Ovis aries: one gene and its partner. The protein of the gene in region 1 interacts with the protein of each later gene in a biochemical or structural test. Links are inferred from orthologs where the notes say so. Each region holds a gene or a part of one and is shown on either strand. Other genes may lie near its edges. The genes, in order: ASF1B and TLK2.

The links.
Region 2: of the proteins of ASF1B (region 1) and TLK2, one has a biochemical effect on the other in vitro, tested with the Homo sapiens proteins (3 studies listed by BioGRID). The link is inferred for Ovis aries from reciprocal best matches to the Homo sapiens genes ASF1B and TLK2.

The regions. Positions count from the first base shown.
Region 1 is NC_056058.1:9,897,717-9,907,245, forward strand, and holds the start of ASF1B (histone chaperone ASF1B), read left to right. Parts: upstream 1-3,608; 5' UTR 3,609-3,728; coding exon 3,729-3,837; intron 3,838-9,529. UniProt on the Homo sapiens protein: Histone chaperone that facilitates histone deposition and histone exchange and removal during nucleosome assembly and disassembly. Cooperates with chromatin assembly factor 1 (CAF-1) to promote replication-dependent chromatin assembly.
Region 2 is NC_056064.1:46,752,403-46,761,458, forward strand, and holds part of TLK2 (serine/threonine-protein kinase tousled-like 2), read left to right. Parts: intron 1-683; coding exon 684-773; intron 774-4,486; coding exon 4,487-4,656; intron 4,657-6,046; coding exon 6,047-6,185; intron 6,186-9,056. UniProt on the Homo sapiens protein: Serine/threonine-protein kinase involved in the process of chromatin assembly and probably also DNA replication, transcription, repair, and chromosome segregation. Phosphorylates the chromatin assembly factors ASF1A and ASF1B.

The DNA of each region.
Region 1 (9,529 bases):
TGATCCCTGGGTCAGGAAGATCCCTTGGAGGCGGGCATGGCAACCCACTCTAATATTCTTGCCTGGGGAATCCCGTGAACAGAGGAGCCTGGGGGGCTACAGTCCATAGCGTCGCAGAGACGGACAAGAGTGAAGTGACTGAAGTGAATGGAGAGTTCCCACCATTCCCTAAATGACACAAGTGGCTCGCGGTGCCTAAACTGTACAATGCGGTTTGGGTCCAACACCTGCTTTCCTTCTGGAGTCTGGAAGTCTGAAACTTGATCAGCCCCCTCCCGCCCCAGCTACCCTAGGTGCCGAGCTTTCCCGGTAGACATGTCACACGTGGTGTCACAGCTCTGCTGTGGGAACTCAGGGAGTCCCATGTGACTTCACCAGGAAAGGACTTGTGGAAGCTTCTGCCTGGTTTTCTCCAGACTTTGCAGCAGCAGCATTTCCATAAAGTTGTAGAACGTGACATACAATACTATATATAGTTCGAAGACACCTATCAAAGATATACAAGCATGTACAGAAAGATAAACACTAAATCCAAGATTGTAGTTACATCTGAAAAGAGGGGAGGAATAGGTTTGAGGCAGGGATATATACGGCCTTTCAATTGCATCACTAATGTTTCACTTCTTAAGCTGGGTAAGGAGTAAAAATGTACTTTGTTATAGCATTTCTTCTTCTGAGTGAGTACACCTGAAATACTACGTAAGAAAAATGATGGCTATGCACTGCTGTTTCTTGTTTATGAAGTAGTTTTCACATTCCAGGTACCATGTAAGCCCTTTATAAGGATTTACTCTTTTTTAAAAACAATCTACTGAAAACTTTCTACATGTGAGGTCCTAACTGAGAGGTCTGTATGAGACAGGTGGGATCACTGTCCTCAACCAGCTTTCAGTCTACTGAGGGACGACAAGAGTTCCCTGGTGTTCTAGCGGTTAGCATTTGAGGCTTTCACTGCTGTGGCCCAGGTTCAATCCCCAGTCAGGGAACTGAGATTCCGCAAGCCATGCAGCGGAGCAAAAAAAAAAAAACATATCTACAGATTCTAGCAAGTGCTCCTAATAAGCAGGCTTTTGTGATAAATGAAGGTCTACTTTAACTAGGATGGTCCAAGAAGGCTTCTTTTGGAGAGACATCTGGGGTGAACCATATATGATGAGAATGAGACAGACAAGCAATTAGCTAAAGGAAGCACGTTCCAGGCAGAGGGAAGAGCAACTGCAAAGCCAGGCAGCAGGAATCAAGTTTGGTGTGTTGAAAGACAGGAAATAAAGCCAGGAGGGCTTGGGAGTGGTGACAAGAGGGAGACTGGCAGATGAGGTCAGTTGAGGCCACTGTGCAGGGCCTCCTAAGCCACAGTGAAGATCTTAAGTTTCATCCTAAGTATGATAAGCCTTTGAAGGTTTTAAGCAGAGTAATGACATGATCTAGTTTACAACTGAAGATTATTCAGCCAGCTGTAGGGAGAAGGCATTATAGACAGAGACATAATACTTGTGACTGATGAACTTTTCAGGGGCTATGAAAAGGTTGGGGCTGAGAATGAAAGAAAAAAAGTTCCACAATGCAGAAAGAAAACTACAAAGTTGTAATGAGTAAAATGTTTAATATCTAGAAAACAAAATATAACAACTTCATCAAAGTTCATATGCATAAGCAATTGAATTACATTTGGAAATAATTTGAAAATTTGACCTTCTCAAGTCACAAAAATTCCTAAGGATGCCCAATGACTGCCAAGAACCCAGAGCCAATCATAATGGGAATTTTCTTGCAGCCAAATCGTTTCAATGAGGGGAAGAATCCTTTCAATCCTACTTGAGATGGAGATACAAAAAAAAAAAAAAAAAAAGAGAGAGAATATTCTGAGCATCACGAGGCCACAGAGGTGGATGGATAAGAAATCCTAGTGGCTTGAAATGTACCGTTCAGGCTTATGTTCCACGAATTTGAATGTTGTCCAGGGGGCTCTTGGATTCTCCGAAGAAATTTGAGCAGAGACTTGAATAACAAGGAGGCACCAGAAAAGAGGTGGGGGGTGTCATGTCAGATTTTATGAAACAAAAAGGTCAGTTTGGCTGAAGTTGGTTTTGGCTATCCAATATCGGAAGCCACAGGGGATGACAAGCACCTCAGTGTGGCTAGTGCCACTGTGAAACAGAACATTCCACGTCGCTTAACTTTCATTAATTAATATTTCAATTTATCACCGACATGAGATTGAGTTCATGGGAAATTTTAACGTATGTTGGGAAACACTTGGGCATGTGAATCTCCATTTCAACTGTAAATTTTATGAAACCTCAACTATTTCCGGTGAAAACCTAGCGTCCGGATCACAGCTGTGGTGTAACGTGTAAAATACACAGGTTTTCAAACCGTTAGTACTAGGTAACAAAATAAAGATACCTCAGGTTCGTGTTTGTTTTTTTTTAATACCGATCACATGTTGAAATGATATTCTGGCTATACTACATTAAGTTTAATATATTTATATATATATATGTAACGTGGCTACTATAGAAAAGTTTAAGATTAGGTTTGTTGACGCCCGTGGAAGCGGACTAAAGGAATGCGGCGGCCCCTCGAGTCTTCCAGACAGGGGGCGACGGTGGTCCCGCCTACGCCTGGGAGTGGAAAGAAGTTTCTAGATGTATTATGTAGTCATAAGTCAGGCCAGTAAAATTTCATCACCCCGTTCAATGAGCAGGGAAATGAGGCCTCGGGTGGTGCGTGGCAGAGGCCGGATTCGAAATCCCATTCAGCGCCGTCCACCTGAAACCTCCCCAGGGGCTCTCAAGTAAGAACCTGATTCGAACCAGGCCCGACTACCGGGTCCCGGGCCCCAGAGCGCCGCGTTAGCGCGGCACCGTCTGCGCTCAAGGGTGAGTTAAACGTTCACAACGTTCACAACGGACGCCCAGCCTGCCGGGTCTGCGGGGCCAGGAGCCCCTTAGAGAAACTTCCGGCAACGCTCACCTGCTGACAGATGCCGATGCCGCAAACGCTGCTCCTTTCTCTTCACACTCTGCTCAACCGCGTCAGCGGCCGACTTCCGCTCCACTTCCACGAATCCCCGGCCGCGTCTTCTCTTCTCCCGCCCCCGCAGCCAACTCAGCCAATCACCTCTCAGGAAACCTGCTTTATCTCCGCCCCATTTCTGCCTGCCAATCACTGCAAGTCCAGCACGTCCCTTCCTTCCCGCTTAAGCGAGCGCTGTGCGCCACCACTCGGCGGTTGACTGCGCTGCCCCCAGCTGGAAGAGTCTCCCGGAAAGGCGGGGCTAATCGCGGACCACGCTGGTGCGGGGACCCTAGGGATTGGCCAAGAAGAGCCAGGCGCTCTGACCCCGCCCACCCCTCCCTGGACGTCCGAGTCGGAGACTCTGGGGATTGGTTCCCCGCGGACACCAAAGAAGCCTAGAGACGGTCCCGCCTCCCTCGCTCATCCCTGAGATGGAGCTCCACGGATTGGTCTCGGGAGTCTCGGCGCGCGCCGACCGGCGCTCCAGGATTGGCTGAGGAAGCACTCGCGCAGTCGTGGAGCGTTGACGGTGATTGGCCGTAGGGTGAGAGCCGGCTATTTGAAGGAGGCGCGCGGACTAGATACGCACTTCAGATCGCGGTCAGAGGAGGCGGGAGCGGGTTTGGGCAGAGCTTCGCCGCTGACCCGACAGGACCCAGGCGCGGGCTCGGCCCCAGCTCTGGCCTCAGCCGTGACCCGACGAGGCGATGGCTAAAGTGTCAGTATTGAACGTGGCGGTGCTGGAGAATCCGAGCCCTTTCCACAGCCCTTTCCGGTTCGAGATCAGCTTTGAGTGCAATGAGGCCCTGGCAGACGGTGAGATTGGGCCCTTGTGGAGACCCCACTCCCCTGAGCTAACCCCGACCTCCCTTTGCAGACAACCCCGAGGCCAACCCTGCCAAACACACTTCCTCTCCCCCTCCCCCTCCCCCAACCGCGATCTCCCTTGAACCAAAGCCCGCCCACCAGCCCCAACCCCGCCCCTTGGAGACTACCCACCGCACCCCACCCCCATGGTTACTCCTCTTTTCCCCTCATGGAGACCACTTCATCCTCCTCTTTCTCCTGGGCGTTCCTCCTGAGCATCTGTTTTCTGTGTAGAGACCTCAGCCTCAGTTCTTTAACCTGCAGAGACCCTCAGCCTTCCCATCTTCCTTGTAGCAAGAAACCCCCCATCTTCTGTTTCTGTATGGACAGACTACCATTCCAGCCACCCAATCCTCCCCCACCAATCCCCTCTCCCCTGTGGTGAGACACTTCCACCTCACTCTTTTCCTGTGGAGATGTAAGCTCTAGCCCCCTCCCGTGTCCCATATGAAAACCGCAGCCTCCTCCCTCATTTTCCCTGTGAAGATCCTCGCCCTCTGGCAAGACCTCACACATCCTTATCTCCCCATTTGTCTCCCCATAATATCCCCTACCTGCTGATACTTAACCCCACCCTACCCCCCTTCAGCTTGTTTCCTACCTCAAAACACATACCCTAGAAACTGGCTTCCCTCCTTAGTCTGGCCCCAACCCTCTACTTCCTCAAGAGAGGCATGACCTGGCTTCCTGCTCCAGTGTTTGAGGATGATCTGGTCTCCCCAGCTCCTCTTCCTTCCTCTTCCCTGACTGTGGGCTTCAATGAACACACTCAGATCTGAGGAGTGGCATGGCCAGGCACACGTTAGCTGGTTCCTGCTGTTGGCCTGCTGGATTCCTGCTGACCCACTGCAGCAAAGCTTGCAACACTTTTGATGGCCTGACCTCGACTTGCGCGGTGTGGGGTGGGTGTGCCAGGCCGAGCCATGGTGATGTTTGGCTTCAATCTGGGAGGTCACAGCCTTTTGTGCACCTTTTCCAAGGTGCTTTCACAGATGTGCTTATTCATCCCTGTGACAAAAGGCGGACATGGCTCTCATCTCACAGATGAGAAGGCGGGAGACAGAGTAAAAGACCTTTCAAGTAAAGGCCTATAAAAACCAGAAAGGCTAAGGTTGTTCAGCGAGTCTTGGCACCACTTTCAGGAGGAAGTACTTCCATTAGATGTCTTCTCTACTTGGTGGTTAGAAGAGAAGAGGCAGCCTCTAAGGAGGTAGAGATCTGGAAGGCAAGGGTGTGCTAAACTAGTCGTTCTCAGTGGTTGGTGGGTGGTTTGCCTACAAATGGGCTTCTCCAACTAACATGGGGTTGAAGAGTTTTGATGTGTGCTTGGGTGGGGCCATTGGATCACTCCCTGCTTTCTCTCGTTTTTAAATCAAGGAGTCATTCTACTTATGACTAACTATAGAATATGCCCAGTTAAATCCTTTCTGGAACAAGGCGGGGTGTAAATAAATAAATAAAGTGTAGAATGACCCTGTGGAATAAGATTTAATTTTAAAGCCAGGAGATGTAAGGAGCTAATAGTTCAAGGGATTCATAGTTCCCAGATGGCAGGAGATCGGGTTTCAATCAGCCTGTTTGAGCTCCTGGCATTTAAAAATGGTTGCATGGTCATTATCTAGTACTTTCATTCCTGCAAAGCTACTGCCCTGTTACTTTATTAATCTGTTTATAGAATCAGGAGAGTCTAAAGTCAACCTGCTGGTCATTGTTTTTTATTTGTGTTATATTTTGTTTAAGATTTATTTATTTTTGGCTGAGCTAGATCTTCGGTGCTTTGCTCAGGCTTTCTCTAGTTGGGGTGAGCAGTGACTACTCTTCGTTGTGGTGCATTGGACTTCTTGCTGCGGTGGCTTCTCTTGTTGAGGGGCACAGGCTCTAGGTGAGCAGGCTTCAGTAATTGGAGCGCTCGGGAGTAGTTGCTCCACAGCATGTAAGGTCTTCCCGGACCAGGGATCAAACCCATGTCCCCTGCTTTGGCAGGTGGATTCTTAACCACTGGACCACCAGGGAAATCCCTAAAGACAGTTCTTTCTTTCCCCAAGGTCATTATTTTTCTAATGGAAACAAAATGATTTTTCCAAGGTCACACAGCTGGTGTGTAGAATTATTCACAACTAGGTCTTGTTTCTGAGTTCTGAGTCCAGGGTTCTTTATCTTTGCTATAAACTGGAAAAGAATGCACCCACTATTTTAGAAGTGAGACATAAACAGGACAGAAGAGGGCAACAGGGTCTTATTATTAATTATACCTGAACAATAAAGCTTTTGCTCAGAAGAATTCCAGTTGGAAAGCCAACTCTGGCCTGGAAGTCTACACTCTCTGGTTGTACCTGTAGGGCTGTGCTTCACTCTGACCTGTCAACATGCTTTCTGCCTCTTCCCACAGAGCAGAAAGGATTTGTCTCCTGCCTCCCAAACAAATGGAGTAGGCCTGGCTTTAGAAGTCTCTTAGATTCTGGAGAAATTCTCAGTCAGCCTTATTACCTGGTAACTGAAGATCTGAACACCCAGCCCCAACTCTGAGCCATTTCTCAAGGGCTCTGAAATGTTTTAACTCTCTCTCCCTCTCCCCGCTCAGCAGCATGTGGAAATAGATGCGTCCAAGGCCTGGGTCTGTATTCAATACATTGGGTGTGTTTTCCCCCAGTTTAGTTGAGAGATTCATGAGATACTGCCTGAACAAGTCTTAGAGCCAGATTTTCTGACCTACACCGAACACGCTGTGGTCAGGCCAAGGTTCAACTGTATTATGAACAAAGGGAAAGTGATAAACAGAAAAAGGCATACTAGATAAGTTGTTGGGGTTGGGGTTGTTTTGTTGTTTTTTTGATTGTTTGGGACTTGTGTGTGTGTGGCTACGATGGGTCTTCATTGCTGCACTTGGGCTTTCTCTAGTTGGGAGCAGGAGCTACTCTTCGTCATGGTGCTTGGGTGTCTCATTGCAGGAGGCTTCTCTTGTTGTGGAGCCTGGGCCCTAGGATGAGCAGACTTCAGTAGCTGTGGCACACGGGCTCAGTGGTTGCGGCGCATGGAGTTGGTTACCCTGAGACCTGTTGGGATCATCCTGGACCAGGGATGGAGCCTGTGTCTCCTGCATTACAGGTGGAGTCTTATCTACCGTGCCACCAGGGTAGTCCTGTTTGTGTTTTGGGGGGGACAGGAAACAGATTCTCCTGCTAGTTCAACTACCGTAATTTTTTTTATGTTTTTCATCATACCGTTGGTCTGGATTTTGTTTTCATACATAGTGGAGGAGCATTTTGTGCAGTGGTTAGATGATAAAGTTAAGGCATAAAGTCAAAACAATGGAATCCATTTACCCTTGGAATTACTTAGAAGGCTAGGCATACGTTACACATGTGCGACCTTAATTCATATTCAGCAGGAATGAATTTGTGCTGTTTGTGATTGACGTCCTCACAGCTCATTCAAAAAAGTGAAGTCATTTCAGGATGCCTCTGCTTAAGAGTCCTTGTTTTAGTCATCTTCCATCTTCCATAGATGATTTTATAAACTCTTTAACTTATTTTTTTTTAATATTTATTTATTTATTTGACTGCCCCGAGTCTTAGTCACAGTATGCGGAATCTCTTTAGTTGTGACATGCGAACTCTTATTAGCAGCATGTGGGGTCTAGTTCCCCAACCAGGGATTGAACCTGGGCCCGCTGCATTGGGAGCTCGGAATCTTAGCCACTGGACCACCAGGGAAGTCCCTCAGCTCCTTAATTCCTGAGTGAGTATTGTCGGCCTTGGTTAATTCTCTGGTTTCTTTCTGACCTGAGTACTGGGAACCACTTCAACCCATTCGCCTGACCACCTGCGTTTCTCTCTTCCAGTCTGCACCCACACAGGCTTGTTTAGGTTTTGCCAACAGGTGTTTTTGGGTTTGGGCCATTCCGTGCCAAATTTGGGATCTCAGTTCCCTGACAACCAGGCCACAGCAGTGGAAGACGGAAATCCTAACCACTAGGCAACCAGGGAACTCCGTTGTCAACAGCGTTGAAAACTGAGTGCCAGTCGCATACACTAGGCCCTATTCTATTAAAATTTCCCTTTTGTATCCACCCTCAGCACGTTAGTCATGCTTCCCAGGTGGCTCAGTGGTAAAGGAATCTGCCTGCCAATGCAGGAGACTCGGGTTTGATCCTGGGTTGGGAAGATCTCCTGGAGGAGGAAATGGCAACCCACTCCAGTATTCTTGCCTGGAGAATTCCACAGACAGAGGAGCCTGGAGGGCTACAGTCCATGGGGTCACAAGAGTCGGACACAGCTTAGCCACTGAGCACATAATGCAACACGTTAGTTAAGTGCGCACATATGTGACTCCACTGATGATGGGGAAGGCGGCCAGAAGGAAAGACACCAGATGATAGAACTGTGTCAGAAAGGTGAGAACAGGGCTAGCTTGTTTTCTGTTCATCCAAAAACGTGTTATTTTGGGTTGTGTCACTACTTGTAGCAAAAATAAATCAGTAAGCTTAACTCCTTCCTGCAAGTAAGAGAATGGGCTTTGACTGAAGCCCAGTTCAGTCCAATGGCCACCCACATCCTGTAGACCTGATAAGGTCCCTGAGTAGAAGGCCGGGTGTCAGCTGTGAAAGGGCAGGAAACCAGCGTATCGAGGAAGGGCGTGGAGCTCAGGTGACAGGCCCCCATAGTTGTGGCCCGGCATTGCTGTGCTTCCGAAGTTGGGTGCCCTGCGACTTCCCCGGTGGTCCAGTGGCTGAGATGCCAAGCTTCCAATGCGGGGGGGCTCAGGGTTCAATCCTCGGTTGGGGAACTAAGATCCCACGTGCTGTATGGCAAAGCCAAAAATAAAAGTTAAAAAAGGGACTGCCACGGTTCAAATTAGATTTAGGACATGATAAGATTAATAAGGAACAGGGGTCTAAGGATTATGAGAGGCCATTCCCCGCCTCCACAAACACCTCTGGGAAAATTGAAATGACAGTCGGGGGGAGATTTCTCAGGCCCTTGTAGACAAGTGCTCAGTTGCTCATGTCTGACTCTTTGACCCATGGAATTTTCAGGCAAGAATCCTGGAGTGGGGTGTCATTTCCTTCTCCAGGGGATATTCCTGACCCAGGTCTCTTTCGTCTCCTGCACTGGCAGACAGATTCTTTACCAGTAGCACCACTTATAGACATGGGGGTGACCTTATCCACTCTCAGCCCTACCCTCATTCACTGCCCTCTCCCTCAGAGTAAACAGTAAATTCAAACGACAGGTGTTTCTAATTCACCTGTGCGTTTTAGAAGCAGAAACAATAACATTTCAGTCAGGAACTGTCTCAGGAAGACATGTGTTCCTTTGGCAAAATGCACTCCAATTCATTTCCTAGAATGAGCTCTCTTAGACGCATGTGATGTCCATACTGCCTGAAGGGCCAAGTGATTTTAGAAGGACTTCCCTGGTGGTCCAGTGGCTAAGACTCCGAGCTCCCAATGCAGGGGGCCCAGGTTCAATCCCTGGTCAGGGAACTAGATTGCACATGCCACAACAAAGAGTTCACAGGCCTCAACTAAGACCCGGTGCAGCCAAATAAATATTTTCTTAAAAAGGCACCAAAGTTGGGTGCTCTTGTGGGACACTAGACCAAGGAACAGGGCAACGTATAAGACAGTGTGCTTCCTGCG
Region 2 (9,056 bases), on another chromosome or scaffold:
AATTCAGTATATGAATACGTCAGATTCCATAGTACATTTTTCTTCCTTATCTTACTAAAGAAAAAAGACATATGTATGAAAAAACATCTCTTAATCTAAGAAAACTAAGATTCCCATAGTTTCAAACTTTTTATCAAATTAGCATTTTCTTAGAAAGTAATGCTTTACATTCTTTTTAAATTTTTTTAAAATTCTTTTTTGTAAAGAGTAGGATTGAAAAACAAGTCCAATGCATTTGTAATTGCCTTATCTTACCAGCAGTCCTTTTACTCAGTGAGTTTACATGCCAAAATTGATCCCTGTAATGGAACCCCAGGGTATAAACATTTGTAGGTAGAAAGTATCCGCTTCAGAGAAAAGAAAAAAAGTGCTGTCTTAATCATTTTTAAACCTCTGCTGTTTGGGTATCAATATAAAAGAGGTAAGGTTATCACAGAATGAACTTGCAAAGGATAAAAGTTAGTGCCTACTGTTTTCCCAACAGCTTGGCAGAGGCCTGTGGAGAAAACAGAGTGAAGGAAGGCTAGAGGACTTGATGGCCTTGAATGGAGCGGCTGTGTGGGAGCAGTGGGGCAGTGGGTGAATCAGGAGGGTCCTGGAAGAGCCCCGAAGGACAGGGCGAAATGCAAAATGTTAAATGCTTCCCTGTAAACAGAATACAGATATTTCCCTTTTGTTCACAGGCATGCATGTAGGGAATACCGGATTCACAAAGAACTGGATCATCCCAGAATAGTTAAGCTGTATGATTACTTTTCACTGGACACTGACTCGTAAGTACTATGCCATTTCTAGCTTAGCAGAGAATATGATTTTCTTGCAGTGTGTTGATGACTCAGGGAATGGAATTTAAATCTGGGTCCGGAAAATACTGCCTGAGGGGGCTAAATGTATTTACGGGCAAATGATTGTATTTGAATTCAGATTGGGGCCAGCAAGACATGCATTTCTTGGCCACAGGATGGGTGCACTTGTGTGCTAGTCAGTGCTTAACAACCAGCTTGGAGGGGAAGGCATAGGGCTGATGGGTACTGTTTGCCAGTTTCTATGAAATAAGACTCTGAACATGTCCAGTTTTTTTGAAAAGGGGGGGCAGCTTTATTGAGATAGGTTTATATACCATATGGTTCACTCATTTAAAAGCACACAGTATTCATAGGTACGTTGAGGCCATGACCGTAGTCAGTTTTAGAACATTTTTTCCACCTCAGAAAGAAATCCTGTACCTTGTTCTGTAATCCCCCTTTTCCTCCACTCCACTGCTGCTGTAAGCAACCGCCTGTCTGCTTTTTGTGTCTATAGATCAGCTATTCTGGGACTTTCATAGGATGGATCATGTAGTGTGTGAACTTTTGTGGCTGGCCTCTTTCCCTTAGCATGGTATTCTTTTAAGGTTCTTCTTGTGTCATTTATCAGTACTTCATTCTGTTTCATGACTAAATATATTCTACTGTATGCAAATACTACCTTTTGTTTATCCATTTATCCTACCAGTGGCTTAAAAACTAGCTCACAAGATTTCTGAAATTTAACTCTCAGCTCTCAGAAACTGGTACAAATTGGTGCTGGCATACCACAGACAAGCAACAGTCAAGTGAGGCTGATGAACACTGATGGGCCTTTTGAAGTTCTAGCAGTATGATTTCATCATAGAATTAGAATGAAATGTGGCAGAGTCTAATGCTACATCTGAAAATATAGGTTGGTTCAGAGGCCTATAGGGATTTCAGTCCAGCCTTCTCACTTTGTAGGTGGAGAGTTGAGGACCAGAGAAGCTACATGACTTGTCTGAAATCTTTAATAATCGTAGGCATTGTTGTATTTCATTACTTGGTATAGGTAAGCTCTTGATCTCTTGGTTTATCCAGGAGTTTAGAAATAGTTCAGCATTTGTAAACATCTTCTCTGTTGGAGGCTGAATTGAATCAGGAAAGCATGCTTAGGCCTGGCCCGCAGGGGTTTCCTTCCCCCTCCCAGATGGCGGCTGTCTCAGAGCTTGATGTGTGAGAGCCCATCCACATTTAGAAATGGCCCCAAAGGGAGACCATAATTCCCTTTGGAAACATCCACTCAGGGATTTCCCCTTTCCAGTCAAGTGCAGTCAGCACAGTGCTGTGCGTGGTGTGGAGTGGGTTTCAGGAAAACAGCGAGTTAAAAAGCAGGTCTCCACAGGGTAGCTTTATTGTTTTGCTTTCAACAAGTTCCTTGAATACTAGGAAGGACACACATACCCCCCAAATATAAGCGCAAAAATCATTTCAAAAATAAATACAATGACTTGGATTATCTGCTGTTTTGAATTGTATACACACTTTTAACTAATATGAGAAATTGAGCTGATTTTGCACTACTCTTGAGCTGTTTACTTTGTTCTTCCTGTTGTGTGTATGGTGAATTTTTCCCCAAAATAAGTCAAATCTTTGTTTTAGAAAGTTGTCTGAGAGTTGAGTATTAAAAATGAGATTTTATTTTCAGCTTGCATTGGGTCCAAAATAAATTCACTAAGCCTGAGAGTCTATGCCTCAGATTTCAGCATATCAGATCAGAGAAATTGATACATTCTAGGCCTATTTTCTCAAATAGAATGCTAGCATGTTGGGACGTGCTATGTTTTGTAAGAAGCATGAGCTGTTGGTCAGTTTGGGGGTCCCTTGGGACTGTGTGTGTCCACATTTTGTTGCTTTGCTTCCTGAAGGTCTTCAGTGGCCCATAGGCCCTGAATGTGAGTCCTGCGTCAGTTTGGTCTTAGATGAGTTGGCCCTTGTAGGCTGTGTTCACCAGGCTCTTTTGTCAGTTGTTCAATGGGATTAATTCAATGGGGAGACAGAAGTGGTGGTGGGTGGAGACTCCTCCCCCCATGGTTCCAGGTTCCCTGGTGACCCTGGTTCTGATTGCACCATCTCCACCCTCTGGCATTAGGGTGCTAATGACTTCCTGCTCTAGATGATTTCTAGCGTGCTCACTGGCCACTTTGTCTTCTCAGCTCTTCCATCATCTGTGTGATTAGTTCTCTGAATTAAAGCCTCTCTGTTTTAAATACTCCAGTAATTTTTATTTGCCAGCAAGACCCTGAGTGATTTCACCACATTGTTACAGCTTCAGTTCAGTTCAGTCACTCAGTCTTGTCCGACTCTTTGCGACCCCGAGAATCACAGCACGCCAGGCCTCCCTGTCCATCACCAACTTCCCGAGTTCACTCAAACCCAGGTCCATCGAGTCGGTGATGCCATCCAGCCATCTCATCCTCTGTCGTCCCCTTCTCCTCCTGCCCCCAATCCCTCCCAGCATCAGAATCTTTTCCAATGAGTCAACTCTTCTCATGAGGTGGCCAAAGTATTGGAGTTTCAGCATCAGTCCTTCCAATGAACACCCAGGACCAATCTCCTTTAGGATGGACTGGTTGGATCTCCTTGCAGTCCAAGGGACTCTCAAGAGTCTTCTCCAACACCACAGTTCAAAAGCATCAATTCTTCGGCACTCACATCCATACATGACCACTGGAAAAACCATAGCCTTGACTAGATGGACCTTTGTTGGCAAAGTAATATCTCTGCTTTTAAAATAGTTTAAAAGGTATTCATCTCTCAGGAAGCCTAGCTTCAGTTTATGACTGCCTTGGAAGACAGACACATGACCCTTCATACCGTGAATGCTGCACAGCTTTAGATCTGTGTGACGTACTGGTATAAGTGAAAGAAAGAACTCATACTATATAATGATACATTTGTTAGAACTACAGATGCTGTCCTTTAAAAAGCTCTTTTATACCTTGTGTATTTAACAAAGAAAAATCATAGTATATGCAGTCTGCTAGGAGCAGTAGTATGCAGTCAGCCATGGGGACCTGGGCAAACCCTAGATTCTTTCTTACTGTCAGCACCCGGGGTCATATAAAATGTTTCCAGTGAGGACTGTGTATTTGATCCTAACATACTTGTTTAGAAAGGGAGCATCCTGTGGATAGTAGAGTAAGTGTCCAGCTTAAACACATGACAGTTCCTGCCCGTATTCCTGAAGTCTGATGCAAGAAGCCGTGTGCCCTGGGTGAACTTTAGCAGAGCAGGTTCCAATGTGAAGGGTGCAGACACTCTTCACTAAGAGTTGGCGGTTTACTTCCTGTAAACTGCTAATACTGAATAGAGAGTAAAAGAGTATTTTAAAGAGCAAAGAAGAAGGAAGTGAGAAGCCATCTACCTTAGCAGTCCCCAACCTTTTTGGCACCAGGGACCAATCGTGTATGTGGAAGACAATTTTTCCACAGATGGGGCAGGGGGTGGGGGGTGACTTTGGGATGATTCAAGCTCATTACATTTATTATGCACTTTATTTCTATTATTATCACAGCAGCTCCACCTCAGATCATCAGCATTAGATCCCAGAGGTTGGGGACCTCTGAATTACCCGATGGTTTCACTGGGGCTTGTTTAGTTAGACTTAATCTGCTTGCTTTTATCCCACAATCAAGTGTTGGTTTATTTGTCTTTAGGTTTTGTACAGTACTAGAATACTGTGAGGGAAATGATCTGGACTTCTACCTGAAACAGCACAAATTAATGTCGGAGAAAGAAGCCCGATCCATTATCATGCAGATTGTGAATGCTTTAAAGTACTTAAATGAAATAAAACCTCCTATCATACACTATGACCTCAAACCAGGTATGTCTAATTTTTAGGAGACAGTATTGGTGGTATTTCTTTGGTCTTATAAGTAACTTTCAATTTTATAAAGTTACGGGATTTGGTGGGGGCCAGAAAGGCCTAATAAAATCGGACTCTAAATTGCTGGGTAGGTGTGGGAATAAGAGTCCTAGCTGCACAGCACGGGGTTTAGGAGGTTGGGTCGTATTCAGTGCTCTGGAGAAACAATGCCCTTGTCTTTAGAGCCAGGGCAGTTCATGATGTCAGTCCGATTAAGAAAGAACTGCTCTGGCAAGCTTGGTTTTGTTTTTCCCCATTACTCACACCGCACAGCAATCCTTCTACCCCAAGTCTCTTTGATAAGTGCCCTCACATTAGCAAATGATTCTCCAAGTATGCCCCCCATTTCATTAAATTCTGAGCAGAGTTTTCCATCTTTTTGTATGGTTACTATCTAACTTTGATAGTTGTTGGCAGGGGAGAGAGCAGTTTGACTTCTGTCTGTTGTCTTCCTCAGCTGTTGCTTAGAAGTCTGCCTGTGTGCTCTTCAGACAGCTCTATCCAGCTGAGCTTAGGTGTTGGGAAGAGTCCCCTTTACCTCCTGGTGGGGACAGTTAACTTTGCCATCCTCTTCTGATAGCTACATATTAAATCTCACTATTTTTTAATGACTAAAGTGAAAGTTGCTCAGTCATGTCTGACTCTTTGCGACCCCATGGACCATACAGTCCATGGAATTCTTCAGGAGTGGGTAGCCTTTCCCTTCTCCAGGGCATCTTCCCAACTCAGGAATCGAACGCAGGTCTCCCTTACTGCAGGCAGATTCTTTACCAGCTAAGTCACAAGGGAAGCCCCTTTAATGACTAAATAAATGACTAAAAAATTCATTACAAGGAAGTGATTTTTTAAAAGATGGCTGCTGTGTGATTGGGTTTTCTGTTACTGAATCCATTACATTTTCCTGGCCCAGGAGCTGTAGGTGGCACTGTGGTACTAACTTAGATTCCCGTGTATGTTTTCTTTGATTCCACACCACCCTTCCCAAACTACTGTTCCAAACAGGGTGGCTTAGAGATCCGTCCTGAAAGTTCAGATGAAAGTTTCCCACTATTTTTGACCAACCATACAAATGATATTTTACTTGGGCTAGTTAATTATTTTTTTCCACTGCTCATAGTGCTGGTTTTGGCACATTAAGCAGGTGATTCTTGGAAAAGAGAAATTTGCAGCCAGATACTTACGACTCTCCTCTAGCATCCAGAGTCCAGAATGTTTTATTGCAGAGATTTAAATGTTTGCTCTTATGTGTAAGAGTTGGAGTCCAGTTGTCCTCTTCTTGTCTGTTATTACTACCTTGGCTTTTCCTAGTAAGTCTCTTTTTTATTCATGAAGATTTTTATCTTTTTAGGTAATATTCTTTTAGTAAATGGTACAGCATGTGGAGAGATAAAAATCACAGATTTTGGTCTTTCCAAGATAATGGATGATGATAGCTACAATTCAGTGGATGGTATGGAGCTAACGTCACAAGGCGCTGGTACTTACTGGTAGGTGTCTGAAAGATGGAGGTGTGGCTATGCTGTGCTGGAGTGTTGGTGATTGTTCATTAGACTATATTCTGTCTGCTTAGGCAGAAATGCTGTATATCATAGTAGACTTTCCTCTCCAAATATTTGCTGTCTTGTCAGCAGTTTGACTCTTTGTATTTACATGAATTTGTCTTAATTTTTCTTCTTATTCTTAAAAACCATTGAGAGAGGGATTATGCGTGACCAGGCATTTTGAGTTGTGTTTGCTCCGTAGGTCAGGCCCTACCGTGTACATAGAGAATGAGGTTACTCGTGTGTATGTAAAGACTGGCCCTCACTTCCTTTCAGAATTTCAAATGCAGGTCTCTCTCTTCCTGAGTTGATGGGTTGAGGAAGTTTTTTCTAACGTTGCCTGAAGATGGTGGACTGAAGAACCCAAGAGTTTTAAAGATTAGGATGTAAAATAAGCACAGCATCCCTTGAGATCTAAACAGGAAAAAGTGAGCATGATTTGCCAAGAATTGTATCCATTTCTGGCAGCCATGCTCCAAGAGGTGTGGGCCGCATTTCTTCCCATCTGCTGTCACTCGCCCACCCCCAGCCACTCTGCCCAGCTGGCTCTGCCTGCCTGTTGTGTGCCCTGTCTTACTCCGTCTCCTACTCCTTTTGACAGTAAGCACCATGAAAGATACCTGTGGCTCACGCATTTGACTTTGTGATTGTAAAGGTGTTAGCAGAGCTTCCTTTTCATTTCTGAGGTGGTAACACAAAGCCACACATTGGAATGTTTGATTCTGAACATGGAGAAGCCTCCTGTAGCATTAAAGGAGGGGAAATGCATGCAGTTAAATCCCAAGGTCAGTTGGCCAGATCACTGATGTTTGAGACTAGACGACCCTGGCCCTTAGCCAGTCAGTGACTGGGAATGAGGGTGTTGATGGGAAGCAGACAGAGAAGAGGGGAACATCAGCCCTGTTGTCACCCCCACCATACTGAAGAGTCGATCATGCCCTGCTAAAAGCCCCGTGTACACACAATCCCAACTCTCCTTTGTTCCTTAGTGTTTGCGGAGATGGTACCTATAGTGAAAATCAGTCCCTAAATTAAAACTTTGAGATTCTAGGTTTAAAATAGAAGCTACACTTACAGTGTTTATTCACTTGGTGGTTTTTGTGGGTTCCTGTCAGTAAATGATACAAAAATATCTGCTGTTGGAAATTCTGGAAGCAGGTCTATACCTCTGTTTTATAAATTCGCTAGAACTTGGATTTGAACTTTTTCATTTGATAGCTTGTTCTTTTTTAAAGGTGAAGATTTTTCACATTTAAATTAGCTATCTCATTGCTGCCTGTTGCTGTATTTGCTAAGCCATAAAAGTCAGTAGTTTGGCATTTACATAAAAGTATGTAATGTTTGGGATTTGCTTCAAAGGAATCTGGGGGAGATTAAGAGGGGTGTACATGAACAAAGATTTGCCATGTTGACAGTTACTGAAGCTGGATGATGTTTACTTGGGGGTTCATTTTATGATGTTTTTCTACTTTATATTTGAAGACTTTTTTTTTTTTTTTCATGGTAAGAGTAAGGTAGAAAGGAAGCTACTGAGAAAATTCAATTGTTTGAGTTTCTGTGAAGGTTTAAAAAGTAAAAATTCTCCATATTGGTGTTTCTAATCACCGTCCTCACTGTCATCCTCATATTATGTCCCAGAAAGATACAGACAGAATGTGAGGACATAACAAATTTTAAGTGAGCATTTGCAGCGTTTGGTTGTTCCAGAATTCTTCTGCATGGAATACTGCTTTTAAACAAGTAACCCATAGACTAGGCTTTGAGAATCATTTAGACTAGGCTTTGAGAGGATTTTATCATGATGGCATATGCAGTTATGTTTGTTTTTTAAACACGATTTAGTGCAATATCTTAGAACCCTCTTCTATTCTCCCTCCCAAAGTCCTTGATAGGGACTTAGAATGCTTATTATATGGGTGAAGAACTAATCTGTTTCTTCATTTATAGATGGGGAAACTGAGACCTAGAAGGTGATATGCTAAACTTAAACTATTAAGAGACAATGTCTCCTGTATTCTCATTATTTGACCAAATTATTACTTTGCATTTGGATAAGTCCAGCAATCTCCATTTTTCCTCACCACAAACAAGAACTTACTTCTTCCCCACCATTACCACAAAAAAGTTATAAGTACATTAAAAGATCATTTTAGAATCAAGGTTTTGTTATTTATCCAAGCTCATATTTAAATTATGTATATTAAAGGATTAAAAGCCATGAAAACCTGGGATTCAGGGAGATTTTAGTGGCATTTGGATGAGCTGTTCTTTTTATAGATTCTTTCATCTATATTTTTATTTCTTTCCCTTTCTCTCCCCATGCTCCCCTTGTGAGTTTTCTGTCTATATTTTCATTTTTCAGTGTATGTTTTGGCTAGACACTTTCATTGTGAAATAATAATCTAAGTCAATGGTCTTAATAATTTTAAAACGACTATTAAAAGAAGTAGCGTAAAACTAAACTTCTTAAAAAAAGCCCATCATCTGAACATTTTCTGCCTCTCAACTCTTATGATCCCCTTTCAGCTATACATTTAGGTTTTTACATCAGAAGCACAGCAGGGTTTAAAATAGTTTTTCACAAAACTGATTTTGCCAGCATGAAATCTGCAGAGGTCGATCTGTTATCTTTAGAATTCTGCCTTCCAGCTGTGCCAATGCTAAGACTCCAGGCAGTGAGGAGAGGCATATTATTTGGTTTCCTAAATGCTAAGAGGCACTTACCTTCCACACCATACAATTTGGTGTGGTTGGCTGTCCAGCTAGTCTTTTTAGAGGTCAGGAGTGGGTGGGGAGGGAAGGAATTCAGATGAGGAT